Linked DNA regions of Pelodiscus sinensis. The protein of the gene in region 1 purifies or fractionates together with the protein of each later gene. This does not show direct contact. Links are inferred from orthologs where the notes say so. Each region holds a gene or a part of one and is shown in the gene's direction. Other genes may lie near its edges.

Region 1 (7,491 bases):
AACTGCTGAGTTCTGTTGATGTTATGCTTTTTTAGGTTTCCATGGTTAGTATCTAAAAGAATCATGCAGTGTATTAAACTTCATGAACTGAGCTTGACTGTGCTCATCGAATGATTTGATTTTGACTCCATTCTATATCATTGTTAACTCATGGGCTTATTAATTCAATTCCCATTGTAACATTGATTTGATAACTGTGTTTAGTTCATACTTAGTTCAGTAAAAGGTGTAGTAATTAGTTTTTTGCTGGAAGTTTAATTTTCAGTTTGTTTAATGTGTAATAAAATCCAGAAAAATACACAGTACTGTTTTCTTTTCTTTTCTTTTCTTTTCTTTTCTTTTCTTTTCTTTTCTTTTCTTTTCTTTTCTTTTCTTTTCTTTTCAAATTACAAGGGTCATGAATCTTGAGGGCAAAGGTAATTTAAATTATACATTTCTTAGCCATGGTTCTTCCCTTAAATCAGGGGTGTCCAAACTTTTTTCAAAGAGGGCCAGATTTGATGAAGTGAACATGCTTGAGGGCCGACCATTTTGCCTGACATTCTTTGAACCATTAAAATTAAATGCAAATTAACTATTTTATGCAAAGTTTATTGCAAACGGCATACTTTTCATTTCGTCACATGGATGACAAATCTAAACAGGTGTTAAATCACTCTGCCTTTCATATGAAAAAAAGGCCAGATGAAAAAAAAAATCCAGGAAGCTGAAATATATGTCAGGAACATTGTAAAGTACATTACATATTATTGGTAATAAAGGTTGTCTGTCAACTTTTAAGTTCAAAAAATATGAACAGGAACATAACACCAAGTATACATGTTGTGTCCAAATATATTTATAACTGATTTAGACCAACTGACATTAACTGAGATTTTACAATGTATTCATCTCAATACATATGGATTCGTTGGGGGCCATAAAAGATAGATATTGCCAAATTACCTGTGGGGCCGTATTAAACCAGAACACGGGCCGCAATTGGCCCGCTAGCCGGACTTTGGACATGCCTGCCTTAAATTAATACCTATGTACCACATATCATCCAATTGGACTTTTGATAGGACATGATACTAACTTGGGTGGTTAAGAATCTCCCTTGGACATGGGAGAGAGGAAAGATGCACTGCCAAACATTTCCAGACATTTCAGTGGCCTTTGATATTGCTGATCACAGGGTGTTGCTTAAATCATTACAAGACATGGCATAGGTGAACAGAAACTCACTCTGTTCTGAAAAATCCCACATAATGGTTTGGGGCAATCGCTCTCAGCAGTACAGGCCCCAGGCTCAATCCTAACACCTTTTTTGTTCAACATATGAAGTATCTCTAGATCATCAACCATATGGGCTGTGGTGTTCTCAGTATGCCTAGTTTTATAGCTCCCTGTCATTCACCCCGGATGTAACATCCCTTGAGAGCTGGAATCTGAATAAAAACCAGCTAGCGAAAGCTCAGTCTAAACCAGTGGTATGCAACCTTTTTTGATCTGCGACCCCCACACTGTGGGGGCCACCAACTGCTGGGCCCAGCCCCCGGCCGGCCAGAATTAAGCACCATGCCACGGGGGCCGCCAATGGCCGGGACCAGCTCCCGGCCAGCTGGATCTAAGTGCCATGACCCTCCAGGAAGACATCTGGAAATAAAATGTAGCCTATAATGCAGACATTCACATCCTGCTCCTAAGAAGGATTTGTTGATTTTATACTTGTTTGAAAACATGTTAATATAAATATGAATTGAAATCACAATAGTGCATTTGTCCTACATTTATAATATCGACATGATTTTGTCAGAACAGAATGGAGATTTGGGCCTTTAGATAGCCAACACCTGCTGCCTCAGAGATGGAGCTGGCTCCCACATTAGGAAGGCCTGATAAGGGTCACCCTGAAGGTAGGGTGGTGTGATGGTTTCTGGAGTGGCTTAGGGACTAGGGCATTTACCTAGGGAATGCAGGGTGGTAGACTCAATCCTACAGGCACAGGATAATATGCCTAGGTGGACCCCTGCACTCATGTGGAGCCAATGGTTGCACCTGGATGGATAGGGGCCAATATTATTATTTCATGTTGTATCATTCCAGGCTGTAGTTTAAAAAAGAAACTTTTTAGAACAGAAAAGTCATTTGGCATTAATGAGTAACATGCAATGTCAGCGGTATGCTAGATTCAATTAATTGAGGATTAAAAGATGTTATGAGATTCTAATATACACTGACATCATTTTCCTTTTAAAAAGGAAAGATTCAGGGCATTTTCCCATGGAAGTACTATTTGTGTTGATTTCAGGATCCTGACCAAAGAAGAAAGGAGAGCAGCAAAATACATACCCTGGACTTCAGAAATGCAGACTTTGACTCTCTCAGGAAACTGATGGGTAGGGTCTCCTGGGATGCTAACATAAAGGGGAAAGGAATCCAGGAGAGCGGACTGTATTTTAAAAATGCCTTACTGAATGTGCAGGAACAAACCATCCCAATGCGCAGTAAGGTTATCATATGTTCTATAATATTGATATGGCTAATCTCAAGATGACAATGGAACCTCTTTCAAGAGGAGAATGAAGGGGAAAAAATCAAAACAAGTTTAATTCTAGGAAGAATCATAGGCCCTGGTTCTCACGGGGGACTTGAATCATCCTGGCTACGTCTACACTGCAGGGTTTTTGAACAAAAATGGCCATTTTTGCACAAAAACCTGCAGAGCGTCCACACCTCGAATGCGTTTTTGCACAAGTCTGTAAAATGGCAGAACAGAGGGCTTTTTCTGGTGAAGGTAAGCCTCCTCTTATGAGGCATAACTCCTTTTTGCGCTACAGCTATTGCGCAAAAAGGCAAGTGTGGACGCTCTACAAGGGTTTCTTGCACAAAAGGAGCCTATCCAAAAAAGCACAGGTGCTCTGATGGCCATTCTGTGAATGGACATCAGATCTTTCTTACGCAAGAGCATCCATGCAGTGTGGATGCTCTCTTGTGCAAAAGTGAATTGCAAAAGTGACACACTTTTGAGGTGTAGATGTGCTTTTGCACAAGAAATTTTTGTGCAATTTTTCCACAAAAGACTTCTTGTGCAAAACCCCTGCAGTGTATACGTAGACCGTGACATCTGTTGGGAGACCAATAGAGCAGTATACAGACAATCCAGGAAGTTTTTGGAAAATGTTGGGGATAACTTCCTGGTACAAGTGTTGAAGGAACTGCTACTCACAAACAGCGAGGAACTAATAGGGGAAGTAGGACGGAGAGAGGCTATACTCAGTAGTCACAGATGACAGAACAAGGAGCAATTGTATCAAGTTACATTTGGGGAGGTCTAGGTTGGATATTAGGAAACATTATTTTACTAGGAGGGTTGTGAAGCACTATAATGGGTTACCTAGGGAGGTGGTGGAATCTCCTTACCTAGAGATTTTTAAATCCTCGCTTGAAAAAGCCCTGGCTGGGATGATTTAGTTAGGGTTGGTCCTGCTTTGGGCAGGGGGCTGGACTCCATGACCTCCTGATTCCAGCCCTGATTCTAGGAACAGTGTTACACCTTTTAGTGGCCTTTGATATTGCTGAGTATGGTTTTGCTGAAATGACTTCAGAAGCTGGTATGAGGAATGGAAACACTAGTACAGATCTGCTCACTCTTTCCTGATTGATTTCTCAGGGTAATGTTGAGCAACTGTTGTGCAATACCATGGCTCAATCTTGTCCATGCTGATTCTGAATGGAGATGATGTTTGCCTAGCCTTCTCAGCACTAATCCTTTTCCTACCAAATTGGGGTCTCCCTCACTTTTTTTTTGCCTCTGAATTTGGCCTCCATTTCAGTTTATCCAACATGAGCCAAACAGACAGAAACAGGGTTAGCTAGTGTTGTGTTTAAACACAGTAAGGACAACACATCAGCCTTTCCAACCCATCTGCTCCTCTCTTGCTTTGATTTACAACGTCCCCATACTTGTAATCTCAGCCTGAACGGAGTGTTTTCCCCTCACCTGGTCCTACGGGGGCTTAGTTTGTGATGAAAGCAACACAGGAGCTCCAGCAATATTTTTACTTTCATTACTGACAAACCCAGCTCAGCCTCGGAGTGGCATAAATCAAGCGCTGGGGGATACCTGTCTCCCACACCCCCGCCTCACGGAGGCTCCCAGTCGCCCCAGCGAACCATCTGTTCCGCCGACCTTCCCAGCTGTGTCCCTGGGTGGCAGCCTCCTCCGCCTGGCCCGGCCCAGCAAGCCCCTCCGGCTGCGCTAGGGCGACCGGACACAAGTGTGACCAATCTGGACGGGGGCAATAGGCGCCTACATAAGAGAAAGCCCCGAATATCAGGCCTGTCCCTACAAAACCGGGACATCCGATCAGCCCAGCTGCAGCCTGACCCCGCCAAGTCCCGCCACGCCCCTTCAGCTACCCTCGTCCCCCCCGTGTAGCTCCGGCCCCGCCCGCTTCCTTCCCCGCCCGGCGCTCCGAGCTCCCCCTCCCAGAGGGAGGCAGACGGATGACGTCACCGGATCAGGCCGACCGGCAATGGGCGCCATTTTGAAACCCCAAAACCTCCAGCGGCTGCAGCTGTGTGCGGCGGCGGCGGCTCTGACCTGGTCCCGGTCGGCGCCTCCCCCTCGTGGGCCCCGCAGGCCCCCGCCCCCCACACAGTGCGCGACATGGCAGGTGAGAGAGACGCACGCCGCGCCGCGCCCGTCAGCGGGGGAGGCCTGGGCCTGGAGCCGGCCTAGGGCAGGGGCCGGGCGGAGGCGCTGTGCCTGCGGAACCCGGGAGGGCAGCGCGTCGGGCCTAGCCGGGCAGCGCGGATCTAGGTCACAGGGGGCCGAGCGGGCTCCGCGGGGCCATGGGGAGGCGGGCCTGGCCGGGTTTGGGGCCGAGTGCGGAGGTACATGGCCGGGTGGGTTATGGGTCAGGCCAAGCCTCCTGAGAGTTAGGTGCCCTCGGCCGGGTCGGGCTGCCTTCGCCGCTCGCCCTCATCGCTCGCTGTCTCCGCAGGGGTGGCAGGTGGCGGCGGCGGCGGTAACGACTTCCAGTGGTGCTTCTCCCAGGTGAAGGGGGCTATCGACGAGGACGTGGCGGAAGGTAAGCGCGGGGGATCGGGCGCTGCGGCCCTCGGTTGTGCAGGAATCGCCGTGTCATAGGGGTCCCTAGCCGGGGGTGTCAGTGGTTCCCTGTCCCTCGTTCGCTTTAATCCACCCCGGACACCACCTATTCTTGTCTAAAGTGTCCGCTTCGCACAGAGAGTCGCTACAATTCTCCCGGTGCTGCCATTCTCTTGCCCGGTGTGAATCCCGGAGGATGCGGTGTGTGTGAGGGTGGAGGAGGGGTGCGATGACTAAGCTGCTGCCTGTGCTTTTCACAACGGCTTGCTCTCACCAGATAGCATGTCAGAGAAGGTGTCTTCCTCCTCATCATCATTTATGGTCACCAGCGAGATGGGATATCGACAGTGATAAAATGGGGGAGAAAAAAGTAGTCAGACGTGTCAGGCTTCTGTCTCACGCACAGAGGGAGGCTCCTTCATTGGGGATTAATTTCAGAAGCAGTGTTTAAAATTTCTTTGTGGCAGTGAAGGGTTTCATTCTTATCTGCTGATATTTGAAAGCTATAAAGAAGGAGGTTTGTGTGGCAAATAGGTACCTTTTTAAGTGCCATTGAAATGTTAGACTTGCAGAGCATTTGGGGATGAGTGTTATGATGATAAACATTTTTGTTTTAAAAAGTAATCCCTTCTAAATAGGCAAGATGGACATGTAGAGTGTGCTATATGAGTTTCAAGGAGTTACAGTCTTAGGTTTTTTTTTAAAGTCTGACATGTTCAGATTATTCCAATTGAAATATATGCTTGTAAAGAGGATGTCATGAGGGTGCATACCTTTTCCTCGTGTACTTGAGTTTCTACTACATGATTTTTTTTAAAAAAAATCCTCAAACTTTAGCTACTTATTTGTGTTGTTTTTGGTTCTGGAATGACTTTTGAATGCATTTTGCTTGTACCTAGTCTGTTTCATTCATATTATTTTCCACTGCAAAAATATTAAGAAGTTTTAGTTTTCATGTTACTTTTGTTTTGGAGTTACAGCATTGGACCCCAAATGCCTGACATGGAAAGAGACTCAGTTGCCTAGGGAGGTTGTGAAATCTCCGTCGTTGGAGATATTTAAGAGCAGGTTAGATAGACATCTATCAGAGATGATTGTAGATGGTCTTGCTGTGAGGTTTTGATGACTTCTCGCGGTCCCTTCCAGTTCTAGTAGTCTATAATGCTTTGGATTTTTGGAGCAGATAATATTCAGAATAGAGATGGGAGTATGCATTTCCTGATTTTTCTATTCTTGTAACACATTCTAAAGTTTTGAGCTTTCTGGTATTTTTATTTAATAGTCTCTGTTTCTTAAGTTTTTACACTGATAAGGTTTAAAGTGCCATCCCTTCTTATATTTTAAGAAACAAGTCAATTTTGGCAAAATACTTATTATGATAAAATTGTTCCAGTCACTGTTGATTACCAGCATATTTGTTGTTTATATTCTCTCCTGCTATTTAAAAAGTAGAGAGCATGTGTTTATAATCACATGCTTTTCCCTTTCTAAATAGCCAGTAAGTTTAACTACCTCATTCAGTGATTTTGTAACATCAGAATTCAATGTGAAAGAAATGTGTGTTATCAGAGCCAGAAGGTATTGGCAACTTGGAAAGACTTAAGCTCCATTCCTTCACGTAGTCAGTATGTAATAGGAAAAACCATATCACTATAACTTAGAAAACTCTAGCAATGTACTTTCCACCTCTGGGTGTGATTTTTAGTACCTATTAAATCAACAAGAGTTCTGCCTAAGTGAAAACAGAAGCACCTGTAATGGTCTCATTCACTTTAGTATCATGAACTGCATTAAATCTGGCAGAGATCTTGGCTTATGGTGGCAGAGTGTTCCCAAATAATGGCCTCTAGTATTGTAAGGCTCATGTAATTCTGGCCTGTGCAATCTGAAAGTAGACAGTACATCCATTAGCAAGGGTACAGCCAGGGTTACTAGGTAATATGCTAATTCCGCTTATTTTTGAACAATCCACCAGGAGGTCTCCTGTTTAACACATCATGTCCATTCTAAAATTGGTCTTTGATGGTGAATTCCACAGAGGATGATGGCAATATTTGCTGCAGTATAATATGAGTGAATCACCCTTGTCTATAGCTGGCCTATTTATTGGCATGAGAAGTAAGATCCAGGCTGTGTTCAGCCCCATTCCTTCAACTGTGCTTTTTGCTTAATTTTGTAAAAGTTTACCAGTGTGATATTTTGGCTCTTAGCTTTCTTTCTCAGTCTTTTGGCTAAAATTTAAAATGTAATCAAATAGTTAATAAAATGTTGTCTTGTCAGTAAAATTTGAATAAGCTGAAAGCATTATTTCTAAAACAATAAAACAATTTTATTTTACTAAAATTAAATAGAACAGTGTCATGAAATCATTTGTGACTTCAGATGAGGGGCAT
Region 2 (6,939 bases), on another chromosome or scaffold:
AGATGTATGCCCAGTAGCTTGTATCTACATTTCCATATGAAGCAATGGAAAATCACATGACTGCAAGGCCCTGCAAGATTTTGTCCTCCCCCGACATAACTAGTCTCGTTTCCTCCTTCTACCCTTCTTCCCCTTGCACTTTTCTTCCACTTTACTTTTTACCTCAATCTGCTTCATACCTTCTGGCTGAAAGAGCTTCCTTTCTGTCTGGATATATCTACAGTACAGAGTAGTCCACACTTGCAATTGTGTTCTTCCACAAGAAAATCGAAAGAACAGAGGGGTTTTCCTGGCATTGGTAATTCTCATTCTATAAGGAAGAAGTCTTTTTGCGAAGGAGCTCTTTTGGAAAAAGGCGTGTGTGGACGGGGAAGAGGGTGATCTTTTGGAAGAAGATGAAAGAGGAAAAAGCACAGATGCCCTGGTGGCTATTCCAGCCATAGCAATCACAGCTTACATGCCAGAACATCCATTCAAACTGGACACTCTTTTGAAAAAGCAGATCGCTTTTTCGATGCACTTTTGCAGTGTGAAAGCTCTCTTTAGGAAAAAGATGTTTCAGAAAATCTCGTCTAGAAAAGGTTCTTCTGAAAGAAGCCTGCAGTCTAGACGTAGCCATCTGTGACCTACCTTCTCTCTCTTTTCAAACCAACCTCCTCAGGAAACTCCTGCTTGCTTCTCTTTAGAACAGCCCCGCCTTTCCCTACACCTCATCTGTGGGCAAGTACTTTGTCTTAGGCCGTGGGTGTTTGTTCGTGTGTCCCACCTCAAGCTGGGCAGGGCCGGGACCAGCTCTGCCCCGCGATTTGCAAAGAGAGGGCACCTTAGCTGGGCAGCTCTATGAGCATTTTATGAGCAACCTTTCCTTCCGCTCCCACGTGTCCCTCTCCCCGCGCAAGCCCACAGCTCCTCCTGGGAGCCGAGCGGTGACCCAGCAGCGCCTGGGACTTTCTGCCGCTGTGGGCTACAGAGCCGTTCTCCCTTCGCTTCGGGCTCTCTGAAGGCTTCCTTCCTCTGGCTGCCGCTTCCAGGCTGGGTCCGCGGCGGCCTGCGGCCCCACCCGGAGCGTCTCGGCCAGCGCGCCGCGTCCCCTGCCGGCCTGGAGCCTCGCCCAGCGCTGTTCCTGCAGCTACCGCCACTGTGGGCTTGGGCTCGCCGCCCCCGTCCCTCCACCGCCCTGCCCCAAGTGCCAGCGGCTTTTCGGCCTGCGGCCCGCTCCGGCCTGGCTTTCCCTGCGGGCCAGCTTCCCGCCGAAGCCTCCTTTGCACGGGCGCGGCCACGCCCCGTCAGACCCGCAGGGCCCAGCCCTGCCCAGAAACCGCCCGTGCGGCTGACAGCTCCGCCGGAGACAGGGGCTCGCTTGCGCTCAGCGGCCAGACTCGTGCACACCCCTGCGCGCCTGGCTGCGCTTCTCCCCTTCCTCCCCCCGCGTGGCGTGGCAGGGGCCTTCCTGGACCGCAAGCTCGGCTGGGCCGGGGCTGTGGGTGCCGGGGATTGGACTGAGCCCAAGGCGTGGTGCAGCCAGACCATGGGGTCCAGTTTACTTCTTACCTCCCTGGCTCGAGGGCTGTTCAGCCCCGCTGGGGGGCGCAAGGCGCGGCAGTGCTTAGAAAGTCCGGCCGGTGCCCTGCGGCCTGGCCCCGAACCACACGGCGCGTAGAGAGACCTGAGCTGTGTAGGCAGGGAGTAGCCACGGTAAGTCGGTTTCTGTCCCAGTGTGACCCCCGCAGCAATGCTGTAACAAGCGTTTGACAATAGCTAATGTCTCAGAGGCATTCCCCGAGTGCACAGAGCTCTTTCCCTGGCATTGCACCAAGCTTCTTACAAAGGGAGTGGCATCCCCGGAGTTTTCCGATTGGCACCAGAGAGCCGCTGCAGGAATAGCGAGTGCACATCCTAGCAGATGGCAGCAAGCAGTAATGTGGAGTGGCCTTACCATATACAACTGCGTGCGGAGAACGGCTGACGTTTAACCTCCAGGCCGCTGTAGGTGCCTCAGGGTGTCCTACTGCAGGCATTTGGCTGACAACGTGGGAAGGATGTGGCAGTGTACGGATTAAGGATTGGAGTCAGTAAAAATGCTACGGAACCCCCACAAGGCTACACAATGGATTGGTTTGGCGGTTTTTTTTAATTGTAGCCCTAAATGTCAACCTTTTGCTGCCGATTCGTGTAGTGACTGTAATGTACACTCAAGTATACATAGTGTGTCCTTTTCTAGCCGGTTGTGTTGGAAACTCACTATTCTCATGATTTTCTAAAAAGGCTCAATGACCTAAGTGCCTATTGACTGGAATCCATAGTGCATATCACAAAGTAGTGTTAATGGATTGCCAAGGTGACTGGGAGACTAGGGGAACTGGGTTCTAGTTCTGGTTGTGCCACTGGTTCGCTAAAGGCCTTTGTCCGAATTCTGTCGTCCTTACTCAGGGTGAATGGTACTTGCCCTAGCCTGCAGGCAGTCACGATGAAGTCCCTATTTGTGCAGTCAGGTATTACTTACCTTGAGTTACTAGGGAAGCAGGATGCTTTAAGACATTATTTTTCAAATATGCCCTTTGATTTGGAGTCTCCCTATAGCCCTCTGGAGCCAGCTATTCAGAGGTTCTGAGTACCGGCAACTTTCATTTAAGACAAGTGGAGTTGGGAGAAGTAAGGGCAGTTCGACCTCTGTGCATGTAAAGTAGTTCCTCTGCTGCAAAACTGGAGATGGTGACACTTTTGCAAAGTATTTTGAGATCAGCAGATTAAATGCTCTGTGCTATGTATTATTATTTATTATTATTATTATTATTATTTATGCTTTGTTTTTATCCTGTTATGAAATGTTACAGAGAACACATTTTGTCCATGGACAGTAGCAATTTATAAAAGTTAAAAGCAATCAAACTATTGATTGTGTATGTTCTAAATAGCAGGCACAGTTAATTTACTTTAAAAACGGCAACGTTGTATTTTTCAAGATGAATCTGTTTCTACTCTGAGAACTGGGCAGAAAGCATCCCTGTCTGTTCTTTTCGTGTGTGCGGTCTGTGTATTTGTGCTCAAATACAGAAAGCACTGTTTGAAATGAAATAGTTTTTTAAAAAGCAGGGTTGAAAACTTATATTCCACATTTCATTTTAATAAAAACATCTTATAAATCAGCATCTCTCGTGGATACCTTTTTTGACAGAAGTTATTACATGCAGAGAAATCATGACCTGCTAGACTATCCGTTGTTTTTTAAGTTTTTCCAGTTACCGACTAACACGGCTACCCCTCTGAAGCTTTCTCCAAAGCAGTACAGGGTCTCTTCCAAGCCTCTTTTCTCTAAGGACAAATGCGAAGTCTTGACATAGTGCCAGCATCAGGAAACTGATGTCTAACTGTGAGTGACTGTTCAGATTAATGAGTAGATCAGTTCATGAGTGCTTGCCAATGACAGCATAATCTTTTTCGGTAGCATATATATTTGATTTTTAGCTGATTCTCTGTGCTGGGTGAGACTGACTTTTTCTTAGTCGGGATCAACTTGTCCATTTGGGGGCACTCGAATGGTAAATAAATAAGCTACAGTAACTAATATAATACAATCTGCGAGGCTAATAGGTCGTGGTCAGTAATTCCCTGTGCCATTGGTTCTTTCTCCAGTAAAAGAAAGACGTAATTAATATATTATCATTGAAAGTATGAACTAAAAATACATTGTGTGTTTCCCAGTGTCTAGGAGAATTCCAAGCCACATCATAATTTGGTTTCCCGGGGCGAAGTTGAAATTGCACCTGTTAGCTGGATTCTGTAGTCTTTTCTCAGCCAAAAACTCGCACATACTTTAGTTGAAAACCCATTTGACTCCCACTGTTCAGTTTGAAGTGAACGTGAATTTTTGCGTGAGTAAGGTCTACAGGATTGAGCCATCAGAGTAGCTAGCAAGTCGATACTTGTCCGTTTCAGAAGCAAGTGGCACTCCTGTGCATTTTCACTGTACCTGACAGATGTTAATGATTTGTTTTTCATAACTGCTCTCTTCTACAGCCTCGCATATCTTTCTCCTGTCGGGCAGTGTTTAATTGGTTGCACTTTCAATCGCTGGGACCACAGACACCCCTCTCTTCACCCTGTCCCGGTTCCCTACTGCCCTCCCCTTGGATCCCTGTCTTCCTGCAGTAGCACTGAGCTGCGAGGCGCAGGAGGAGGAAACGAACTCCAGCTTTCTTGGCGAGGGGCGGGGCGGGGCCAGCTCTGTCTCGGTGCATTGTTCTGTGCTCCAGTGCCAAGATGCGGGGCCGCGGGGGGGAGTGAGCGGTGGCCCCTCTCCGAAAGTTTGCGCGCTCTCTCCCTCGCTTCGCTTTGGCAATGGGAGGCAGATCGCTGCCTGGCCCTGGCCCTGGCCCTGGCCCTGGAGTCCCCGCTCCTGCTTAATATTCTGCCTGCTCCGGCGATGTTGTGCTTGGCTCCTGGGGGACTGCAACTCCCGGCTTGAAACGGCAGCCAATTTTCTGTCTTACTCTCCCAGTGTTTTGACTGGAGGCAGATCCAGTTCCGTCCGATCGGGGCTAGTGGAAACAACTGCCTGAGCCTCTCGGTGTGTGTCGCTGGGGCTCCGGGAGAAAGCCGCCCCCCGGCCCCGCGCGATGTGGCTGCCGCGGCCGGGCTCCTAGGAACAAGCCCGGGAAGCGACTGAGCGGATTTGACCCCGACGCGCTGCGAGCATCGCTCGGCTCGGGTCTGCCTGGCGGTTCTTCACGAGAAGAGATCGGTGCGTGGCTGGGGGGCCCTGCTGCGAGTGAGCTGGTCACTCAGCGGAGCGCGGGGCGTCCCCGCGGAGAGCACCAGGCACCTGGGTGCAGGCAGGCGGGGCGGGTACGGGGAACGACAAAGCCCGGGATCCAGCCAGGGAGAGCGGGAGCCAGAGGCGCGCTGAGCCGGCCGGGCAGGGGCGCTGGGGCCCGGCGCGAGAGACGCTGGGAAGCGGAGGAGGCAGCCGCCGGGCTCTGGTCCCACGGGCCTCTGACCCGCTGCGCCTTCTGCTTGCAGGGAGAGGGCAGCGATGACTCTGGTGCTGTCCATGCAGCGGTTCTGCGGGCCCGAGCTCGCGGAGTACCACACCCCGTGGGAGTCGCACTGTGGCAGCCAGGCCAGCCCCGCGGAGCCCAGCCGGGCCGCGCCGCAGGGGAACAGGACGCCAGGTAGGCACGGCAGCTGGGCTGGTGGCCGGGGGGAGGGAGGGGGCATTCCCCGACGCGCACGGTGAGCCGGGCAACATGAACGGCAGTATCGCGCCTCTGGGTGTATCCAAGGCACCAGAGCCCGGGGCCGCTCGAACATGCAGCTACTTTCATTCATCCAAGGGGGGAGGGAGTGCCTGTGTGTGTGTGTGTGTGTGTGTGTGTGTACAGATGGCAGTAATTTCAATTTCACCATCTATGGAAGCATAGGGATAGGTTGGAGACTGTGGCCCGGGGGAAAATGATTAAAGGTAATGTTTGAAGTGAAAATTCACACGGAGCATAGGTTTAGAGCAGTGGTTCTTAACCTTACTGCAGCCTGCAACCCTGTGGTTCTCAAAATATGTTCTCGCACCCCTTCTTAAAAATCGTTGAAGTAGGTCAGTTCTTTAAACCTAAGATATATCATAAAAATCTGGTATGTCTCACACCTCCAGAAAGGGCATCTCACACCCCCAGGGGGTGCATGCACCCCCAGTTAAGAACCACTGGTTTAGAGAAAAGGCTCTGTACATCTGATTCATGCTTGGACTCTCTAGAATTAAAAAAGACTTGCTTAGATAGTCACACCATATTATCCTACAGTCACTCTCCAAAGGGGTAAAAGTCACAACATTTTGGCTAGCTGTCATTTCTTTTCTACTGACTTTAAGGAATCCTGCTCATATTTGGTTATAATAACAAGAGATTTGTCATAAACACAATATATGTCTTGGGCTTTCTAGAGTCTTTCTTTAATGTGGAGTGGGAGGAGAAAGGAGTCCAAACATGGCCATCTTTCTTTACATAGTTGCAAAGATAAAATATTACAAAATTGTATTGTAACTATTCTGGGTGCCAATTAATAAAAATATTGAGTAATGATGGTTCTATAAAATGTATTTGTCCAAAGACATGTTATCTTTTCTTGTCATGAAAGGTAGTAACAAACTCTTACCTTTGGTGGAGTATATCTGATCTTTGCTTTCGTCAATTATATGTTTCCATGTACATTTCTGGTTTTACACTAAGACACAAAATGACCAACTTTTGAAACATTATTTTAAACTACTAAATCTTATTCCAGATATATGGAATATATTTAGCAATTGTAAAATAAAATTTCACCTGTAATTCATGGTCCCTGGAATTTGAACAGGATGCGCTGGTGAATGCCGCTACTTGTTGGACCTGTAAACTTGGGATGAAAATTTTATTAAAGAAAAATATACAGAGAATGTCTAAGTATGCCAGACACACAAATGTCTTACAGTGTCTATCACAAAGAGCTTTAATTGCTCGTGCTAGCCTATTGCATCACGAGCTATTTATTCGTATGGTAAAAAGTTTATTTTGATCACTGCAAATATATATAAACAAATGTGGTAGACTTATCTTGTAGTGAGAAGGGAAATTAAAAGTATTTTGTTTGGAGAACCTCAGGCAAACCACATGTCATTTGTCATATCTGATTTATTACCCACAGGATCACATTACAGGGGAATTTCAAATCCTATAACAACATCCAAGATCACATACTTTAAAAGGAAATATGTGGAAGAAGAGGATATTCATCCATCATTCAGCAGCTGTACACATAAAGTATGTTTTTAATAGATGGGTTTTTTTTACTGGGCATTTCAGATATTTAGTAACACTTGCTTGACTCATTTCCAGAAGTTGAAATACTCCACCCAGATGATGAGAATAGCCCAGCTGTTTGCATGGAAACAAATAGTTCACACTTTAT
Region 3 (7,106 bases), on another chromosome or scaffold:
TTTGTTTCTTACATATAAAACAATCCTTGAGTTTCCTTTATATTTTTCCCCTAAAAATATCAAGTCTTGTCAGTCCTTGGCTAGAGGACTGCCATGGGAGTTTCCTCAGACCTTATCTGAAGAGCTAGAAGGTTGAATCTTTCAGAGTTTTTCTCTCTGGTCTTATATCAGTTTGGGTGTGTCTAGACTACATGCCTCTGGTGACAGAGGCATGTAGATTAGGCTACTTGGCATAGGAAAATGAAGCAGCTACTTAAATAATCGCTGCTTCATTTAAATTAAAATGGCTGCCATGATATGCTGATCAGCTGTTTGGCGGCACAGCGCGGTAGTCTGGATGCTCCGCAGTTGACATCAAAGGCATTTGTTGACCGCCCCGTTATGCCTTGTGGGATGAGGTTTACCGGGGCGGTTGACGAATGCCTTTGATGTTGACCGTGGAGCGTCCAGTCTACCTTGCTGTGCCGCCAAACAGCTGATGGGCACAGCGCGGCAGCCATTTTAATTTAAACGAAGCGGTGATTATTTAAATCGCCGCTACATTTTTCTATGCCGGGTAGCCTAATCTACATGCCTCTGTCGTCAGAGGCATGTAGTCTAGATATACCCTTTGCCATACTGGAGATACATCTTCTGGTCTTTGATTTAGCAGGTCTAGTAAGGAACAGCTAAATCAAATGCTAAGGTCACCCCTGGTAGGTGCGGGTACTCATTGATTCAAGAGAAGTAAAGGAAGCTAATGGGAGCATTTGCTCCTGTTGACCTGCTGTGGAGACAGCACCAAGCTTGTTTATGTAGCTTGAATTGTGTAAGCCAACCTTCCAGATCCTAGAATAGACCTGGCCTCAGAGTTTTAAACAGTAAAACACCTTCCTTGTTCAGTCTCTTGTTATATGAGAAACTAACAATGTCTCTTATTTTGCTGGAGAGCTTTTTGAAAGTTTGAAGATGTTGATCTAATATTTCTAACTTAAAAGAAGATAATTTTAAGGGAGAAAAATGTATATTGTCTTTATATGTATATGTATATGTATATGTTTATGCTCTTTGTTATCACTTTACACTTTACTTTTATTGTTTAGATCCTGCAAAGAAACACACCTACTGAACCCAGTAACAGAACTCTATGCTAGCACAAGGATAGTCCTTTCAGGCCTTACTGACGGATAAGGGCCCACATTATTTGCAAGTAGGCCAGAAGGAATTGGTGTGTCTGTCTGAATATGACAATTTTTCCTCTGATATCAATTTCTTTTCTTTTAGCATTTTGACTGGGAATTCTACACCATGCTGTGGTCAGAACAGTGCAGGTTAGAGCCAAGTATAAAAAAGACATTAACATCTGTAGCCTACATTGTTTCAGACTTCTGCCTAATTGATAATGGCATGCACAGAGTACAACCTTGTTTTGAACATTCCCTGCACCTAATCTCCAAGTTCTATCTTATTTCTTGCTCTTCCTACAGTCTGTGCTCCTCCAGCTCTCTTTTAGGATCTTAATTTTCTGTCCTACATTTTCCTCCCCACCCTTCCTTCACACATCCTCTTTCTAAGAGCTCAGAGCCAGAAGCAGCAAAGCAGCTGCTGCAGTTCACCCCCTTTCAGAAGTAGCCAGGAACTAGACCCGACATGCCCTTCCTTTCTGCTCAGTTGAGAGCCAACCAGCAGGTAGAGAGCTGGGGAAATACAGCAGCTAAGCATTAGGAACAAAGTGTTTGTAGGGGACAACATCAAGCCTCAAAGCCGTCCCATACATAGGATGGTTCAGGGTGTCTGCCCCAGACCCCAAAGTTTTTTTTTTGGGGGGGGGGCCCTCAACGGCTACCTCAACCATCCGATGGACAGGGCCCAGGGTATTACCTGGGGGCCTGCCATGCGGCAGCAGAAGGGGTCACCCCCTTCCCACTCACGGCAGCAGTGGGAGCAGAAGCAACCTAGCAACCTGCTCCATTCCACCCTGCTGCCCTATCCCAGACTGCTGCACTTGGCAGCAGGAACAGAATGCCTCGGCCCCAGGGCACTTCCTACTGCCACAGTGAAGCTAAGTGTAGTGGGCTGGGAGAGGGCACTGGGGTAGAGCAAAGTAGGCTGCAGGGTTGCTCCACCTCCCACTACCATGGTAAATGCAGGCTTCCCAGTAATCCCTGGCTCGCATTGCTCAGAGGAGGGGGCTCCTTCCTGGAGCTGCACAGAGCCAAGGCAGGCAGAGAGCTTGCCTTTGACCCACTGCACCACCAATCATACTTTTAACAATCTAGTCAGTGGGCCCAAGGTATCAGTTGCATGTTTACGTGATCACATCCTTGTATCAGAGGCAGCAGCATGGGGGGAGAATGGAAAGGAGTGGCTCTTTGGTTGCTGGTAATCTACAAGGAGCCAGCTTAAAATCAGCCTTCCTACGTGTATTGACTCCCACCTGTGCTGCAACCTCTCAATCAGAGGCGGCGGGGGGGGGGGGGGGGGGGGGGAGGGGGGGGAAGAAAGAGAGAGAGGTAGCTTCCCAGAAGCCTGTGCTCACAGGAAGCTTGCTTAAAATCTGGCTCCCCACCCTCCACGCTTCTGGGGAAGGGGCTGTGTGTAACAGTACAGGTTAACTGATAAAACCAAGATCATTAGTTAACTGTTCACAGGGGAGGGGAACTTTTTTTGGTCAGGGGGCCACACACGACAAAAGCAAAATAAACAAAAACCCCTCACTGACACAGCCCCAAATGAGGAGAGAGACATTCCCCACCTTTCCATTGCACACCAGAGCCTAGGGAGGCCCAGCCTAGTAGATTTTGTGTGCTTCCAGCCCTGCAATGGGACGGCAGGGGGACTGAAGAGCCAGCACAGGTTTCCCAATACTAGGGGGAAGGGAACTGAGCAGTGGGGGCTGCATCGGGGCCTGAGGTTCCCCACATCTGCCTTATACTATCATATCCCTATTTTTGACTAGGCATTCCAGCTGACAACCAGACACCTGGCAACCCTATGCTAGAAGCTAAAACTGGAGGGCTACATCTACACTGCAGGCTTCTTTCACAAGAACAGCCGTTCTTGTGCGAAAACTAGCGGAGCGTCTACACTGCACGCACATTCTTGCGCAAGTAAATTTACAGTAAAGCATCAGAACAGAGGGCTTCTTGTGCAAGAGTTACTCTTCTCCCCACAAAGAATAAGCCCTCTTGCGCAAGAAGGCAGTACAGATGAGCAATAGGGTTTTCTTGTGCAAGAAACCCCTATGGCTAAAATGGCCATCAGAGCTTTCTTGGGTAAGAGAACATCCACAAAACGCTCTTGGTGCAAAAGCACATCACTGCGGATGTGCTCTTGCGGCAGACTTTTGCAAAAGAGTTCTGGGGCAAGACGCCTGCAGTGTAGAAGGATCACTCAATAATTGCCCTGGTCTATTCATTCCCTCTGAAGCATTTAGCAACAGCTACTGCCAGAACAGGAAACTGAGCAGGCTGAGCCATAGTCTGACCCCCCTAAGGCTGTGGGGATGGTCCCTTGGGGTTCTGCCTGCAGGCAGCAGAGGTGTTGCTGTTAAGGGAAAAGCCAAGCATGTGCCATGCACTAGATTTCAAGCTGGGAGCTGAGGGCACATGGTGCCCAGCCATGATGTGCAGGAGGAGCCCATGCAGCAGTAGGGCAGGGTCCTGGGTAAGGGGGGAGGGGCTCCTTTGCCACCACGGGGCAGCAGGGAGGAGAGAGCCCGGGCTGCTCTCGGGCAGGCCCCACTCGTGCTGGCTTTGGAGCCAGTGTGGCCAGGATCCTGGTCACGTCAATAGGCAGAGGCAGGGGGCCCGCCTAGCCCATTGGCAGCTATTTGAACGTTAAACTCCACCTCGCTCTTTTCCTCAGCCAATGACAGCTAAGGGGCGGGTATGGGCTCTATGGTAACCCCTCAACCAGTCGTACGTTGGAGGGGGGTGGGGTGGGGCTGAGCACCATGGTAACCCGTCATCCAATGGAAGGGTGGATGCCGTGTGGGTGGTGCTTTACGGTCAGGAGACTGCCAATGACGACCAAGATTTCGCTGTGGGCGTGGCTACATGGTGGAAGCATCGCCCAATGGCAGGCCGGGTAGGGAGGGGGCAAACGACCGTTTCTTTGTGGGCTTTGACAATAAGATGGCGGGCGGGGAGGAGGCGGGGCTGGCGGGGGTGCTTGGTCCCGCCCCTTCTCTCAGGCGCGGAGCAGTCGGTGAGGCGGGAGCCGGGCGCGGGTCGGGAGGCGCCGAGGAGGTGAGTGGGGTCGGGCCGAAGCGCTCCGCGGTCCCGGGATTAGCTGCCCCCCCCTTCCCCCGGGGATCGTCTCTTAGTCCGCGGCAGCGAAACAGGGGCACCGGTCTGGAAGCGGCTGGGCGGGGAAGAGCCCGCGGTGGGGAGCGGATTCAAAATGGCGGCGGATCCCCCTCCCCGGGGTCCCAGAGCAGAGAGGGGCGACGAGCAGCAGCTGCCGCCGCCGCCCAGGGTCTCCTGGGAGCGGGCTAGGCCGCCTCTCGGGGGGCGCCTCCTGCAGCCTGAGCTCGCTGTTCCCTTTCGCGCCCCCTCCCCGCTTCCCGCCCAGCGCTCGCTGCCCCTCCCGGCGTGCGGCCCTCCCCCAGTGCCCCCTGGCCCGCAACCCCCCACGCGCCCGCCGCCCCCCAGCGCCTGAACCCCGCCGGCCGCAACTCCTCCCGTACGCTCCCCCTCCCCGTCGTCTGCCACCGCCGCCACGTACCGTGTGTGCTCCTGGGAGAGACTCCTGCCAGCCCTAGTCCTGCCTCGGAGGGGAGGGGTCGCTGCCCTGCCCCTGTGGGGGATAGTTGTAATCGGGGGGGCTGACCCCCCCCCCACCTACGCACCTCTGCGCGTTTCCTGCTCCATCACCACGCTGGCACCTTTCCTCTGTCCACTGCATCGTCTCTGTATCTTGTCCCCTTCCTCACTGCCCTGTACTCTCCTGCCCCCGCCCTGTATTGATGGGGGTGACCCCCTGGCGCTGTTGCCACCCTGGTGGTAAGGGCTGCTTCCCCCCCCCCCCCCCCCCAAACCCAGGCTCTGCTCTGCTATTGTATTTCAGAAATGTTGTCTGGTGTGCGCTGCCATTTATAGTTTTGCAAAATAGGTACCTAAAATTCCGTGGCAAGGCTTCTACAGCAAATTTGAAGATCTGTGCCCCATTCAAGTAATTGTAAATTAAATGTGCTCGTCAAACTACTTATTTTTCTATTGAATTCAATCTGTTCTTCCAGCTTTCAGATGCCCATGTGCTGCAATTTTTTGTATTGGCGCCTCTGAATTGTAGTAGCTAAAGGAGATTAACTACCAAATCAAGGGGCTTTTGGCACACAGGAAAACGGAACAGTTTGGGCTTTGGCACTCATGTAGAGTGCTCACGAAAGGATGAAATTGTGCTTCCCCATTTTAGATGAGGTTAATGTTTACTTGAAATTGTTGGGGGCAGGGGACTTCAACTTTCTAGCTTCTAAACAGACAGCAACTTGACCTCTCCTCGTTTGTCACTGTCCAACAGCAGTGGACCAAGTACACTTCTTGAATTGCTCTATTTTGGTGATCAGCAGAGAAACAAGATTTACAATTATGAACCCCGATCTACACTACACAGGGCAACATAAGGCAGTTTATGTCAATCTAACTATTTAAGTGCAGCCTTGGTCCCACCAATACAAATGTACACCACCGCTTTGACCTCCATGAGAGTTGCAAAGCTTATGTCAGTGTAGGGAGGGTGACATGTAGTCTTGTCACTCTCACCCCTAGGTCTTCATTCCAAACTGGGCTGCCACCTAAGCTCCTGCTGGGTTTCTTGCTTCTCTGCCCTGCCCTGCCCTGCCCTCTCCCCCCAGAGTTCTAGCTGCTTGGTCTGTGCAGCAAGCCTGGCTGCACAGACTGCTCCTGGCTTCCTACAGGACGCTTGACTCCTCACCAGGAGCAAAGCAGCCAACTGGACTCTAGGTTCGGATTTCTCTGCCAGAGATGAAGTCCCAGGTAGCTCTCTCCTCACCCCACCCACATCACCAGCTGGGAATTGGGGAGGCAAGAAGTCCAGGGGCAGCTGGGTACCCAGTAGGGGAGCTCTGTGGAGTCTCTTTAGTCAGTGGGAGTGCTCTTGGTGAGGACACTTACCACTGACAGGAGGCTAGTGTGGTCACTCTGGGGGTTGTAGGTTGATTTAAGTTTGTAGTGTAGATATGTCCATACACTTCAGAGTTAACACTCTTTTGCTATGAATGCCTGTTCGTAGCTATGGTTTGTGTGCAGATGCAGGAAAAACAGCAAGATCTTTTTAATTTTTTTTTTTTTTTTTAAAAGCAAGAGGTTAAAAACTCAGGTTTTTTTAATTGCAATTTGTGCCCCCAAACCCTAATTTTATGTCAGTGGGCAAATCTATAGTAGGCTTTGCTACCCTATAACTATGAAAAATAGGACTCTGCTTAATAAGAGGATACAAAGAGAACCTATTGGTTCTCAGGAGCAAAAATAATTGTTCCTGGGAATGACCTAAAATTACATGCAACAGGTCAAGTTTATCATTGCTTTGCATTGGCTAACTATTTTTCCCTGTGAGTATTAGAGATGTTAAGTGGCAGTTAATTAAGTTATTCCCCTGACTACTGGATTGGTCAATTGGGGGGGAGGGGAGTGCTCGCTACTGCCTCTGTGGCTCTGTAGTTTAAATGTAAATTGCTCCCGGGGGGCAGTATGAGCCGGGACCAAGCAGTCCCAACTTGTGCCAGCTCCAGGACCACTGCAGTTCTGCATCTTCAATGTAGTAAGAGCCTGCCGCAGAGCCACAGCAGGATGACATGAACTGGGGTGGCCCTGGGACAGCTGGGGTTCCCCCCAGCACTGGGTCCTACTTCCTTCCCTCCCCTCCCTCTGATACAGAGGCAGCAAAGGTGGGGGAACGTGAGTAGTAGTGACTCAACTACCTGATAAATCTAAATTTATCAGGTAGTCGACTACTCGAGTAGTCGCTTTCATCTTTAGTATGTATTACTGAAGTTGCAGTTTGACTAGGCTGAAACCGTCCATCTCTGCAGTATCACTTTGTCCTTTCCTATGTACCGTAAAACTCCAATTGTCTGGTAAACAGTGGTCTGGCACTCCTGATAG
Region 4 (7,190 bases), on another chromosome or scaffold:
GAAGGGTTAGGGGTAGGTTTGGGGGTTGGGGGTTAGGCATTAGGGGTAGGGGAGGGAGAAGGGTTGGGGGTTAGAGGGTTGGGGGTAAGGCATTAGGGTTAGGGGAGGGGGAAGGGGTTGGGGGTTAGGGGTTGAGGTAAGGCGTTAGGGGAGAGGGAAGGGTTAGGGTTGGGGGTTGGGGGTTAAGCATTAGGGGTAGGGGAGGGAGAAGGGTTGGGGGTTGGGGGTTAGGCTCAGCATTGGCTGGCCTGGAAGGTCTTTGGGGCAGGAACGGCATCTTTGTTCTGTGCTGGTGGTCCTGGCCCTGGCCCTGCCCCCAGCCCTGCCAGTGCCCCTAATGCACCTAATAAATGGTCAGCGCCTGGCATCCTGGGCCATGCTCTGAGCCCAGCAGCCCTCCCCGATGCTGCCATTATCCCTGCTCCAGGCCTGAGCCTGCCACTGATCTGTGGCTCCAACCCCTAGGCCTGACTGCCTATGGCCCAGTCGGCGAGGAACAGTTGCATTGGTGGGGTGCCCAGCCAGTGGCGGTGCTGCAGTGGAGGCTAGGAGGGGGCTGTGGCTACCTGAGGTTTTGCAGAGCACTGGGTGGGGGGCGCTGGGTTTTCCAGGTCCCGCTTCGGTGGGCAGGGGCTGGGGCAGGTCCCTTCTCCACCGAGGCGCCTGCGGGCAGGCACCGCGTGGCTGGGCGAGGCGACAGGAACAGGCTCTCCAGTTAAATTGCCCCCTGCTTGCGCTGCCAAGGCCAAGCGGCCAAGGCTGGAGAACAAAGCGGCTGTGGGCCGGAGCCAGGCCAGGGTGCTGCAGGACAGCAGGGTCACAAAGGCTGCTGCCCCTTGGGCCAGGCCCTGCGGGGTGCAGCTGCCAGCACCAGATCTCTGGGTTCACGCTAGGCTGGGGGGGGGGGGGGCTCACACAGGCTGTCACGTGGCTGACTTCAAAATCTGGAATGAATGGGGGAGGGGAAATAGGCTAATGCCACGATCGGCCTAAGCGGGGGGCCGGACGCCAGGGCCCTATCCCAGCTCCGGGGGTGGGAGTGCGGGTTACAGGAGGGCACCACAGGGCGCAGGGAAGGGATTTCGGGGTGGCCCCGGGGCACAGGCGGGGGTGGGGGAGATGCTCCCATTCAGCCATTCAAGGTTTCAAACCCCCAGCGCTGTGGAGCATGTGGCTTAAATAATCCAGCTCCTGCCACCTTCTCCTCGCTGCGCCCGCCCCGCCCCGCCGCCGGGTTAATGATTGGCATTTGGGCAGGCCAGGAAGCAAAGTGGGCAACTGACAAAGTGGCAAAACTCGCAGCCGCTGTCCCAGCCCAACCCTGCCTGGGCTCAACAGCCAGCCGGGTGCAGCCCCCTGCCGCCGTGGGGTCTGCCGGGCGCATGCTGCAGCCCCATGGGAAAGGAGCCCTGATTTCATGGGGTCTTGCCCCAGTCTCCCCAATGCAGCATGACAATTTTGGGGAAAGGGGGTGGGGCCAGTCCTGCCCCCATCTCCTTCCCCCCAGGCAAGCCAGCAACCCCTGAAGGGAGCAGGATCTAGTGGTTAGTGTTGTGAGGGGGTCAGCTTTCCAGGGTTCTATTCCCTGAACCAACAGCTGCTCCCAGCCCCCACTCCTGGGGCACAGCCCCCACCCCCCTGGCTCCCTCTACATGGATCTGCCCCCCCCAACTCCACCTCCTGGGGCACAGACCACCCCAAGGATCTGGTTCCTCCACTCACGCCCTGGGGCACTGCTCCTATTGAACCCGTCAATCACTCCCCCCCCCCCCCCCGCAAGACACAGCTTCCCCATGGATCTGCCCCCCTCGGACTCTCCCCCACTTGCCCCCCCGGGCACGGGCCCCATGGATCTGCCCCGAAATGCTTCCCCCAGGTCACAGCCCCCCCGGCTCCGTGTCCCCCTCAAGTCACAGCTCCCCCATGGATCTGCCCCCCTCGGACTCTCCCCCACTTGCCCCCCCGGGCACGGGCCCCATGGATCTGCCCCGAATTGCTTCCCCCAGGTCACAGCCCCCCCGGCTCCGTGTCCCCCCCAAGTCACAGCCCGCCCAGGGATCTCCACCCCCAGGCTCGCACGATCCACTCACCCGGGACGCTGCTGCCCCCGGCCGAGGGGCGCCGGCTGCTCGGAACCCCGGAGCACCCGCGGCCACCCAGGCGGCGGTTCCGCGGAGCTGCCACATCCCAGCCCAGAGCCGCCCCACGCCCAGCTGCTGGCTCCGACAGAGGGGCTGGCCAGCGCCCCCCGCCTCCACCAATCCCGGCCCAGGACACGCCCCTTCTGGGGCTAGCCACGCCCCCGCCGCGGGAGCCGGCCAGGTGGCAGGTTCGAAGGTGAGGGGCGGGTCCGCTCCCCGCGGGCTCGCACTGTCTGGGGAGGGCAGTGGGGTGTAGCAGTTAGATGAGGGGGGGCTGGGAGCCAGACACCGAGAGGGGTGGGGGTGGGGCTAAGGACCAGGGTGCCTGGGGTCTAGCTCCAGGATGGGGGGACCCCGGGGCTGTCCCCTGAACTCGCAGCTGCTCTGTGGTTAAAGCAGGTGGTTGTGAGGCAAACTTCTGGGTCTATTCTTGGCGCTGAGAGGGGCATGGGGTCTAGTGGTTAGGGCCAGCACCGCCTGGGTTTCCATTCTCACACTGCCCCCTCGTGCGACCACAAACAGGCCCCAGCCCCTCCTTGTGCCCCAGTTTCTCCATCTGCACAATGGGGACAATACACACATCTCCGGGCCATGCGCGTGCAGTGCTTTAAAGAGGGAGCCGCTGCTTCCCTCGGTTGCCCAGGCAGCGTCCCCGTAGTCCCTCGCTGATGGAGGCCTTACAAAGCCCTGCACAAAGGGATTGCACAATCCAGCTCCTTCTGGGGTGGAGTCTTTATCCTGGGATCGCTCATGCAGCCCAGAGGTACAGTCACCCAGGGGGTGGGACCCAGCGGCTGTTCGTGCAGAGATACCCAGTGCTGAGATGCAGCCAGCTCTGGGCAGGGGCAGGGCAGGTGTTTAGCACAGCAACAGGGGCCTCAGCTTGGGGGAGGGAGGGAGGATGGAGCCAAGCAGCCCCGAAGGAGAGAACAGGACTGGGGGGGAAATCAAGCAGGAACATGATGGTCCTCTGTGTTGTTAATGAAGCTGGAGTTGGAGGCCTCCTCAGCAGTCTCCAAACCCTGCCCCTGTCCCTTCTGTGGGGGAGGGGAATCCAGGGTCGGAGGGGTGGGGGGGGGCAAAGGCAGGGCCGCATCCTGAACTGACCTCAGTTCCGGGCTCTGCTATAGAATCCCTGAGTAATGTCTGTGCCTCAGTTTGCCCATCTGTGAAATGATCGGACTTCACAGTGATCATCACTGTGGGGGCAGGGACTGTCTATACAGCACCTGACACAATGGGGCCTGATCTGGGGGATGGAGGTGAAGGAACTTAAATAATAACAGAGTCTTGTGCCTGGCTGTGGGTTCTGTCAAACCTCCCTGCAGGTCGGTCTCCCTCCCCCAGAGTCTGGATGAGAGATGCCTGGAGGGTGAGGTGGGGTGGAGTGGGGTGGGGAGAGAGGATTTGCACCTGGCCCTACCTGAGTGACTCAGGGAACCTGCCAGTCCAGGCACATCTGAGGCTGAATGGCCCTGGCTAGGCAGCTCCCAGGCTCGGATTCATCCTCACCCCAGCCTGGGAAACCAACGTTTAAACACAGCATAAGAACAGTCACACTGGGTCAGAGCCCAGTGTCCTGTCTGCCCACAGTGTGGATCCCAGGTGCCCCAGAGGGAGGGATCACACCAGGGAATTATCCCCCTCCGCTGTCACCCATTTCCAGACAAACAGAGGCTAGGGACACCACCCCTACCCATCTCTATTGTGAGCCCTGGTAAAGTCCTGGCCTTCACGTCCTCAGGCGAGGAGTTCCACAGGTTGACTGTGCGCTGAGTGAAGAAAAACTTCCTTTGGTTTGTTTTCAACCTGCTGCCCATTCACTTCACTTGGTGGCCCCGCCGTCTAGTGTGATGGGAACAAGCAAATGGCGTTTCCTCTCCGCGGGGGAGCCGGGAGCAGGAGGCCGGAGGCCGGGCTCCCCCCGCCGCTGGGAGTGAGGGGACCCAGGGGTCCGGGCTCCCTGCGGTGGGGGAGTAGGACCCACGTGCATGACTCTATCCCAGCCCGGGGCGTGGCTGATCGGACGGGGGAGGAGCCTGGGAGGGGGCGGGGTTTAGAAGCGCCACGTGTGCTTGGCCCCGCCCCCTGACCCGGCAGGGATTGGAGGGGGCCGCGGAGACGGCGGCGCGGTGAGGAGCCCGGGTCGGACACGGGGCGCGCGTGGACGGGAACCAAGCGGGGGGGGGCATGGCCCGGGCGTGGGGGGATGTGTGGGGCGGGGGGGAGGTTTGGGGGGGGCGGGGGGCATGGCCCGGGCGTGGGGGGATGTGTGGGGCGGGGGGGAGGTTTGGGGGGGGCGGGGGGCATGGCCCGGGCGTGGGGGGATGTGTGGGGTGGGGGGGAGGTTTGGGGGGGCGGGGGGCATGGCCCGGGCGTGGGGGGATGTGTGGGGCGGGGAGGAGGTTTGGGGGGGCGGGGGGCATGGCCCGGGCATGGGGGGATGTGTGGGGTGGGGAGGAGGGTTCAGGGGCTGGGGGCATGGCCCGGGCATGGGGGGATGTGTGGGGTGGGGAGGAGGGTTCAGGGGCTGGGGGCATGGCCCGGGCATGGGGGGATGTGTGGGGCGGGGAGGAGGGTTCAGGGGCTGGGGGCATGGCCCGGGCGTGGGGGGATGTGTGGGGTGGGGAGGAGGGTTCAGGGGCTGGGACATGCCTGTGTGGTGCTGGGGGGCACCTGGGCAGTAAACGTGGGCAGGGATGGGGATGTTGGGGGGATGGGTGGTCTCCCCACGGGGGATAAATGGGAAGCTAGGTAAGGGGGGAGGGGAGGGAGACAGAAGCGGCGTGTGTGGACTCCTATGGTGGCCATGAGTGGGGACAGCCTGAACAGGTGTTAGTCCCCCCCCCCCCCCCCCCCCCGATTTCCTGACCCTTTGCGCTGCTTCAATCTCTACATCACCTCTCTCTGTGTCAAGCAGACCCTGGCCGCCCAGCATGGCTGCCCCTTCCCCATGACACTGACTCTCCCAGCTGCAGCGGTGGCCCCACCCTAGCTGGCCCCTGCCCCGTGTCAGTGGGACAAACACCCCACCATGAACTGTGTGCGGAAGCTGCTCCTGGCCCGGGAGCTCTCTGCCAGACCAGGTGTCCTGCGGCAGCTCGCTCCGGGGCTGGATCTCCTGCGGCTGCAGGGAAGCAGCTGTGCCCAGGTACCAGGCGTCCCTCGGCAGGCCAGGGTGCTGGGCGCCGGGGGAGACGCGTTCTGCATGGGCGCTGCCCTGAGCAGCTGCCAGTCCAAAGCAATCTGGCTCAGGCGGACGCCTCGGGCAGCTTTGTAAACCTCTCTGCCCCCTTGTTGTTGGGTTGCCCCAACCTTGCTGCCCAGAGGCTGGCGGGAAATGATCGTGGGAAGGGCTGAGCGCCCACTGCAGCTGGGGGAGCGAAAATGAGGTAGGGGGCGGGAGGGGGAAGCGGGAAGCAGAGAAGGGGGGGCAGCGGTACCTGTCCATACAAGTGACATCACCATGGATCGGTGCAGTGGACAGGAGAAGCCAGGGTCACTGTACATGGGCTGCTAAGCAGCCGGCGAGTGGTACCGGTCGCTGCAGCCGGCCTGGAACCCAGGATCCAGCGCCCGAGAGCCAAGGGGACGGTGCTGCAGCCAGCGTGGTGCCGATCTCAGGCCTGACCCCAGCCAGAGGACTCTAAGCCCCAGGTAAAACGACAGCTGCTACAGGCCTTGTTTGCCTCCGCTTCTCTGCTAGCGCTTCTGGCCGGTGCCTGTGCGGAGCCATTCCAAGTTCACCCCCGCAGTCAAGGGGGACCAGGAGAAAGATGGAGAGTCCCGTGACGGCTCCCTGGTGCCCTTGGAGGAGCTGTTTGATCGGGCTTGCAAGGGGGAGCGGAACAAAGCCGCCTTCACGCGCGCGGTGGAACTCTTCTGCCAGAGGGACGTCCGGCGGCGAGGTCACATCGAGTTCATCTACGCGGCCCTCCAGAAGATGCCGCAGTTTGGGGTGGAGCGGGAGCTCGACGTCTACAACAAGATCCTGGACGTGTTCCCCAAGGAAGTGTTTGTGCCCCGCAATTTTATCCAGCGGATGTTCAACCACTACCCGAGGCAGCAGGAATGTGGGATCCACGTCTTGGAGCAAATGGAGAACTATGGTAGGGATGGGGATGGGCAGCAGTGTGGGCGACTGGGCTGGGCTGGGAGTCAGAGGCGGGTGAGCGATGGAGACGGCACATTCACTGGCTCTACCGCTGTCTCCACGAGTCGGCACGGGGCATGTTTGTCCCTCTATGGCTGGGAGGTAAAATCCCACTTGTTTAGTTGACTGGTTAACCGGGGGTGGGGGCTGTTGGCAATTTTGGGGAAAGGGGGTGGGGCCACGAGGGAGGCTTCCCCACTCCCCACAGCACTGTCTCTCCTGCCCCCCCTCTCCTTCCCCCCAGGCAACCCAGCAACCCCCGGGAGGGAGCACGATCTAGTGGTTAGTGTGTGTGTGTGTGTGTGTGGGGGGGGGAGGGTCAGCCTTCCAGGGTTCTATTCCCTGAACCAACAGCTGCTCCCAACACCCGCTCCTGGGACACACACCCCGGCTCCCCCTACATGGATCTGTCCACCTCCTGGGGCACAGACCACCCCATGGATCTGGTTCCCCCACTCACCCCCTGGGACACCATCCCTACAGAACCCCCTGTATCACTCCCCCCTGCAAGGCACAGCTCCCCCATGGATCTGCCCCCCTGGCCTCCCCCCCGGGCCCCATGGATCTGCCCCCAGTTGCTCCCCCCAGGTCTATTTGGGCTGGGAATTGGCAGCCTGGGGAGGGGAGAGGAAGGTGGCTGCTGGCTCCCAGCCTGCCAGCAGCCCTCCTCTCTCCCCCTGCCGGATGCGAACCTGCTGACTCCCAGCTCCTGAGCCCTCGCGGGTTTGGCGTCAGCAGCCTTGCACGGAGGGGAGAGAGGGTCGCCCGTGTGCATCCCTACTCCGTGGCGAGGGCGGGTGAATGTGCCATCTCCACCTCGTCTCCCTCCCAACGTACGCAGGCATCATGCCCGACAACCAGACGAAGTTCCTGCTGCTCCAGATCTTTGGCGCGAA

What was found.
Region 2: the proteins of PPP2R2D (region 1) and SERTAD4 purify together in Homo sapiens (affinity purification with mass spectrometry; 3 studies listed by BioGRID and IntAct, counting the BioPlex papers as one, with this or other methods). This does not show direct contact. The link is inferred for Pelodiscus sinensis from reciprocal best matches to the Homo sapiens genes PPP2R2D and SERTAD4.
Region 3: the proteins of PPP2R2D (region 1) and CDCA4 purify together in Homo sapiens (affinity purification with mass spectrometry; 3 studies listed by BioGRID and IntAct, counting the BioPlex papers as one, with this or other methods). This does not show direct contact. The link is inferred for Pelodiscus sinensis from reciprocal best matches to the Homo sapiens genes PPP2R2D and CDCA4.
Region 4: the proteins of PPP2R2D (region 1) and ECSIT purify together in Homo sapiens (affinity purification with mass spectrometry; 3 studies listed by BioGRID and IntAct, counting the BioPlex papers as one, with this or other methods). This does not show direct contact. The link is inferred for Pelodiscus sinensis from reciprocal best matches to the Homo sapiens genes PPP2R2D and ECSIT.

The regions. Positions count from the first base shown.
Region 1 is NC_134718.1:47,487,880-47,495,370, reverse strand, and holds the start of PPP2R2D (serine/threonine-protein phosphatase 2A 55 kDa regulatory subunit B delta isoform), read left to right. Parts: upstream 1-4,489; 5' UTR 4,490-4,654; coding exon 4,655-4,661; intron 4,662-4,991; coding exon 4,992-5,078; intron 5,079-7,491. UniProt on the Homo sapiens protein: Substrate-recognition subunit of protein phosphatase 2A (PP2A) that plays a key role in cell cycle by controlling mitosis entry and exit. Involved in chromosome clustering during late mitosis by mediating dephosphorylation of MKI67.
Region 2 is NC_134713.1:145,014,316-145,021,254, forward strand, and holds the start of SERTAD4 (SERTA domain-containing protein 4), read left to right. Parts: upstream 1-3,918; 5' UTR 3,919-4,741; intron 4,742-5,019; 5' UTR 5,020-5,032; coding exon 5,033-5,171; intron 5,172-6,675; coding exon 6,676-6,791; intron 6,792-6,939.
Region 3 is NC_134714.1:17,435,367-17,442,472, forward strand, and holds the start of CDCA4 (cell division cycle-associated protein 4), read left to right. Parts: upstream 1-4,096; 5' UTR 4,097-4,229; intron 4,230-4,707; exon of another isoform or gene 4,708-4,869; intron 4,870-7,106. UniProt on the Homo sapiens protein: May participate in the regulation of cell proliferation through the E2F/RB pathway. May be involved in molecular regulation of hematopoietic stem cells and progenitor cell lineage commitment and differentiation.
Region 4 is NC_134729.1:12,699,233-12,706,422, reverse strand, and holds the start of ECSIT (evolutionarily conserved signaling intermediate in Toll pathway, mitochondrial), read left to right. Parts: upstream 1-4,168; 5' UTR 4,169-4,273; intron 4,274-4,852; exon of another isoform or gene 4,853-4,973; intron 4,974-5,061; 5' UTR 5,062-5,175; coding exon 5,176-5,292; intron 5,293-5,847; coding exon 5,848-6,250; intron 6,251-7,135; coding exon 7,136-7,190.